Linked DNA regions of Xenopus tropicalis. The protein of the gene in region 1 purifies or fractionates together with the protein of each later gene. This does not show direct contact. Links are inferred from orthologs where the notes say so. Each region holds a gene or a part of one and is shown on either strand. Other genes may lie near its edges.

Region 1 (2,558 bases):
TTATAATGCTTTCATGTTCATAACAATGCTATTGATCAATGGGGAGAATGTGGGTGTATGTGCAAGGCAAGTATACAATTAATACACACCATTCTACTGCTTTAAGGAGGTCCCAATAAGACTGGGTGTATACTGCTTGTAAGGACTCATGGCTGATTCTTTCCTTTCTAGAAAGGATTTCCAACCAGCGCAAATCTAGATGATATCAAAGAATGGCTCAAAGACAAAGGTCCTATTGAAAATATCCAAATGAGGAGAACACTCCAGAAAGAATTTAAGGTAAGTGTGGGAAAGCCACATTTCAGAGTCACAATTCTATCCCCAAATAAAGGCTTAGGACATACTCAAGGGGATCCTATGATAAACACAGTATGCCCTGCAGTGCATTAGGTGCAAAATAACTGCTCGGAATGTCTGTGCTTGGCTAAGTGTTTGCTGCCTTCTTCTCAGTTCAGCGGCTAGTAGTTAATATACAAGCCTTTGGATGGGACAGGCTCTGGTACTGCAGACGAAATGTCAGAACATCTCTCCCTTTTCTTTATTCTGAATCAGGACCATTTTAGGGTACGTGGACTGCAAGCAACAGCAGTAAATAAAATACAGGACATGTTCCCCCTCCATTATATTTTTCATAATGCTTCACAAGAGAACACATATACATACTGAATATCCCTTCAGTACAATAGAGCTATTTACTTCTGTGCTCTGATTGCTCATTAAAACAAATGTTTTTTTGCAGGGCTCCATCTTTCTCATTTTTAATACAGAGGATGAGGCAAAGAAGTTTTTGGAAGACAGAAACCGAAAGTACAATGACAGTGATATGATTATCCTATCAAAGTAGGTGAATATCTTAAAAAAACAAACGCAAAAAAAACATCCACAGGTCAAATGTCAACTTTTTTTTTTTTTTTTTAAATGACTTTTTGGTAGTGTACCACAAGCACCGAGTCTGTGCCTGTCTTCCACTGTTAACTTGCTTTGGCTACACTTACTGCTATTCATCTTATGGAGTGTTAAAGCCCATATAAGTGTTTTTTTGCATAATTACATAAAATGTAAATCTAAGCAACTGCAATGTATACAGTTTAGAAATTTTGTACACTTAGGGGTATATTTATCATGCTGTGTAAAAAGTGGAGTAACACATTACCGGTGATGTTGCTCATAGCAGCCAATCAGATGCTTTGCTTGGGTTTTAGAACTGTTGAAATCTAATTTCTGATTGGTTGCCCTGGGCAACATCACTGGTAATGCTTCACTCCACTTTTTACACAGCATGATAACTATACCCCTTAATGCCAAATGGAAGCAGTATTTGTCTATGTTCTCTGCTTCTGACTTTTGAAACAGCCAGACAACCACTAAAAATTTAATGTATTGGAAAGTTGTTTTGAATTACATTTTCCTTCATTATGCAAAACTGTTTGGGTGGAGATTTCTTTTAAGTCCAGGGTCAACAGAACATAGCTTCTCTGCTTAAACTCACCCTGAGGCATTGCTTTAAGCTTCATATAGTAGGTTCCGCCGACCAACATAATATATATGGGATAAAAAAAAATTGCACTATCTACTCATGGCAGTTCATAATCGTGTGAAAAATCGCTGCAGAAGATTTTGAGTAACTGTTACGCACATTCCATATAATAATCTTTATTTACAGGGAAGAATACTTTGCAAAAAAGAATCAAGAGAGGAAGCTAAATAAGTCTGAAGAAAAAGCCAAATCAAAGCAGTAAGTAAAAAACAATCTTAGCATTATGCAAACTTAGGGGCTGATTTCACTATTCAAGAAAAAAATGCTAATGGGACTATATTCAAGAATATTGTTAAGAACCATGAATGTTCTGTATTAAAAAAAATCCAAGAAAAATCACCAGAAAAAACCTGAATAAAAGCTGGCTATTTGAGTTATTTAAACATGAATGGAACCATGTGATTCTTACCAGCATGCGACTGGGACTATGCTCTAGTGTTTTCTTAAATTATCTAGCATGTAAGAAAAGTTGCATATGTTTTGCCGTGGTTATTTTATTTTTATTTTTTTCCATGTCCAAATGCAAATTTTGATAAATCCTGCACCTTAGACCAACTACTTGATATATTAGATTCTTAAGGTTTTGTAGTATAAAATCTGGTATCCATGCATATACAGAAATATGATTTTATTAACAATTTTTCCTTTTTCAGGGAAAATGAAGAAGCCCAGAAACAGGCTGAGGATGCAGAAAGGGTAAGTGAAAGTTAAGAACTAAATATAAGTTTATTTGATTGTCTTGCTTATGGATTTATAGACTGTCGTCAGGCAGTTGCCTTGCTTCAGCATTCAAAGCAGGCCCATTGAAGGTTTAAAAGTAAGCACTTGTTTATTCACAGAAACTGATGGAAGAAAGGGTTGGCCGCCTCCTGAAGTTCTCTGGTGACTTGGACAATATGACATCAAGAGAAGACCTTTCGGCTCTGTTTCAGGCTCATGGAGATATTGAATGGATTGACTTTAGCAGGGGAGCTAAAGAGGTAACGACCACACTACTTGATTAGGTCTAGTAATGTTTGAC
Region 2 (3,835 bases), on another chromosome or scaffold:
AGAATGTCTTAATGTCCTATATATTGATAATGGGTGAGTGCAGAGGATCTCATGTTGTTGTCTGTATGAATTTTGTGCCCACAGCCTCATTGCCCCCCTCCTAATGATTTACAATTTAGTGGTGAGCACAGCTTTTCATTGTTTGCTATAGTTTATACAGGAGCAGGGCTCAGCTCCGTGTTGCAACTCCCACCCTTCCCAGCTACAGTCAGATGATTCCAAAGGAGCCAATAAAAGGGCAACCTTTTTGGGGCTTTAACCTTGAAAGTTGCAGGTAATACTCAGTCCCTTTGTTAAATGTATATTGAAGCAGAATAATTCTTAAAGGGGACCTGTCACCCTAAGAAATAATTAGAAATTGTTTTCTATTGTGTTTATCAAGCAAAATAAACTTCAATTACACTATATAAATTATTTTAAACTTATTTCCTTCTGCACTGGAATTCATAATTGCAGAAAACAGGCAGGCTCCATTTTGTGGACACTGTTATTAAGGCAAGCTGTGTATCATACTAAAATCTTGTTTCTGTGCCAGTATGGGGGGACCTGATGCCCATGTCCATGCACTGGTTACACAATTAGATGATGAGGAGGGAGGGGGAATGTGAGGAGGGCAGTGACATCTAAGAAGTTCTGAATTGAAAGTGAAAGTAACTGTCTGCCCCACCCCTATGCCTAAGGCATAGAGGCGGGTCAGGCAATATATGATTGACAGCTGGGACTTTTAAATGCTTATATAATGGGTATAGATGTGTTAATAAAAAAATGACTTTGGGTTACATGTTTAATTTGAAAAGTGCTTTTATTATACAGCTTTTTATGTCTGGGTGACAGGTCCACTTTAATGAATCAGATAAAAGTGAGTGTAGGACTGACCAGAGAGGACGACTTTCATGTAGTTGGCCAGCTTAAAGTATAATGCATATATATATATAATCACTGTTTTACTTAAAGAGGAGGGCATTGCTTGATAGCTTAATGCACAGAATGTTTTAATGTTCTATATACAGTATATTAAAAAAACATAAAAAAACATTTTTTTGCTCAACTGTGCATGCGCGGGCCCCAGATCTCGTCAAAAGGAGGAAGGAAGAGGACGTTAGGGGTGCCTAACATTTGGTGCCCCCAGTGATTTTGCCTTTCCTTCTCCTTTAACTGGCCATGCAGTGTTCACACCTGTAAGCCCCTGTATTGTTCACACTTTGAAGGCGCTGCATTGTTCATACCTATAAGACCTCAGACAGACTGTAGGAGCAGTGCCGGCATTGGTTCACTCTAGATAGTACAGTACAAACTGTTCATGTAGGAGTGGTCATGATCAGTTACTTGGTAGTCATGATATGTTTCCCTGTCTCATTCCCTACTCTGCCTGTGTGCCATACTCTGCCTGACCCTTATGTATTTAAGGGTGTGGCTTAATATGACAAAATATACTTCTTTCACATATAAGTAAAGGGTGATATCCCTGCAGTGAGCACCAATTAAACTATGTTTAATCAGAAACAACCTATAATACCTTCTTCAGCAGTTTCTCATTGGTCAGACGCTCACATACACTGGAGACTTCAGGGCTTGCTGGTGACAACACAGAGTCTGCAGTCATCTTCCCTAAATTCCTTAACAATGCAGTAAGTGGCATTTCCTGCAGCAGTGCCTTCCAGATCTGAAAAATGAAAGCAACATTGTTCTAAAATAAAATGGTACTTATAGGGTTACACAAAGTTTTTAGGGCAGATGGGCGGTTTTCAGCCTGTGTATAAGCAGTATCTACTGCAGGTAAACTATTCGCGTGGGGAATAATCTCCCTGTCTGTCACAGCCCTAACACTACTATAGTTTATATAAATAAGCTGCTGTGTAGCCACTGGGGCAGCCATTCAAGCAGGATAAAATGCACAGGTTACAAAGCAGATAACCTTTGTAGACTACAATAGTGTTTTATCTGTTACCTGCTATGTGCCGTGACACTTTCATTTGTTGGTGTAATTGTTCTTTTAAGAATATTGCAGAAGGAGACATAACAGTGATATTAGCATTTTTTAGCAAAGAAAGAGTGTTATTTGTTTAACCAGATGCATATTTTTGTTAAGTTTTACTCACCTCTTTTGACTTAAGATGAATTGTGAGGAGATGCTCTCTTACCAACCGGTACTCTTCAATCAAGTGAATGACCTCAAGCTCATCCTTGGTACGCTTTACTCTCTCGGTTGCTTCCAGATACTTAAGCACCTTCTCTGTCTCAGGTGAGAGTTCCTTTTCTTTGTATGCCTCCTGGACCTCCTTCCAGCCTTTGGAGACATACTTAGCTACCATGGTTAAACCTGCATTGTAAGCAAAAGAAAGAAAGCAAATGCCTGACTAGACCATATTGTGCTATAAAAAAATGATTTCTTACACATTATATAACAATATATACAATGTTTTTAAAAGAGCAATACAGTTCTCAGAACTCAATAATCTTTAATTAGAATTCATATTTATATCTCCTACTGAAAGGTTTATCTAATCGTGACCAGTTTTAATACTTATTTTTACAAAGCTTAGAGTGGGCTCAGAGCCCACTGTTCCCTGCACATAAGCTACACTCCAAAGTGTTACAAGCAGCAGCACTATATTGCCTATCCATCTGATATTTTGATCCTTAACTCTGCATGCACTTTGCAGTCAACAGATCTCATACAAAAATCTTTAATTAAAATTCACATTTATATCTTCTACTGAAAAGTGTATCTAATCGTGACCAGTTTTAATACTTAATATTACAAAGCTTAGAGTGGGATCAGAGCCCACTGTTCCCTGCGCATAAGCTACACTCCAAGTGCAAGCAGCAGCACTATATTACCTATCCATCTAATATTTTGATCCTTAACTTATAAAATGACTACCTACCTTCACTAGCAGGTTTTATGTGAGACAACCTTAGAAGATCCTTGTGGGACCAGCCATTTCTTTGCTTGTACTTTGTGACAGCCATTGCCAAATTAAGGGCATCTTTAGTGGTATACCAGTCAGAGACAGCTTTCCGCAGAGCTCGCCCCCACATGCCACATTTCATGCCTTCTTTCAAGTCTTTCTTGAACTGGATGAAGGTAAAGAGATGGGTGGGGATACGACATACTTCAGGCACAGCCCTGAAAGCTGCTTGCTTGGTCTTTATATCAGAGCACTGGGAGCAGACTGCTAGGGCAAAAAGTGTGGGCTCCTGTTTGGCAGCTCTTCCTTCTTGGCTGAATGTTTTGATCTCCTGGACAACTTCACAACCTTTGCCATCTTCTATGAGCCTTAGAAGAGCTTCTGCATTCTCCTGGCCCAGTTTCTTTTCTTCAATGTAATAAGTCCCACCTTCTGATCCAAAGCACAGGAATCGTCTTAACCGGTTCATATCCGACACTTGCCACACATAGCATCCTTCAGAATTGGGCACCTGCCTCTCACTTAAGGGCTGTGTTTGATCCACTGTGTCATCCATTTTTACTTTCTTGAACCTACTGGAATTATGACCATTGATTATACATATTTGGCAGCACAAAACAAACATCTAACTAAGACACTGTTTTGTCAGTGCAGCTCTAACCAAAATCCATGCAAATCATGCTCACGTGACCAACAGTGGCATAGCCAAATCAGCCACATATCCCCCTCATAAATTGTTAAGGGAACTGTCACTAAGGAGTGAATAGTATAATAGTATAAGGACAGTGAATAGTATAAGGACAGCATATTAATAAGGGGAGCGGGCCTAAAAAGCAGGGGAATTTCACATTGCAAACAACTTTTTGTACATATAATCACCTATTCTAAGTCACTATTCAATTAGTCTTCATTATTTATTTTGT

Evidence for each region.
Region 2: the proteins of ssb (region 1) and ro60 purify together in Homo sapiens (affinity purification with mass spectrometry; 3 studies listed by BioGRID and IntAct, with this or other methods). This does not show direct contact. The link is inferred for Xenopus tropicalis from reciprocal best matches to the Homo sapiens genes SSB and RO60.

Annotation. Positions count from the first base shown.
Region 1 is NC_030685.2:68,416,740-68,419,297, reverse strand, and holds part of ssb (lupus La protein), read left to right. Parts: intron 1-171; coding exon 172-279; intron 280-739; coding exon 740-840; intron 841-1,663; coding exon 1,664-1,735; intron 1,736-2,190; coding exon 2,191-2,233; intron 2,234-2,376; coding exon 2,377-2,517; intron 2,518-2,558. UniProt on the Homo sapiens protein: Binds to the 3' poly(U) terminus of nascent RNA polymerase III transcripts, protecting them from exonuclease digestion and facilitating their folding and maturation.
Region 2 is NC_030680.2:117,842,160-117,845,994, reverse strand, and holds part of ro60 (60 kDa SS-A/Ro ribonucleoprotein), read right to left. Parts: intron 3,488-3,835; 5' UTR 3,469-3,487; coding exon 2,889-3,468; intron 2,321-2,888; coding exon 2,100-2,320; intron 1,664-2,099; coding exon 1,517-1,663; intron 1-1,516. UniProt on the Homo sapiens protein: RNA-binding protein that binds to misfolded non-coding RNAs, pre-5S rRNA, and several small cytoplasmic RNA molecules known as Y RNAs.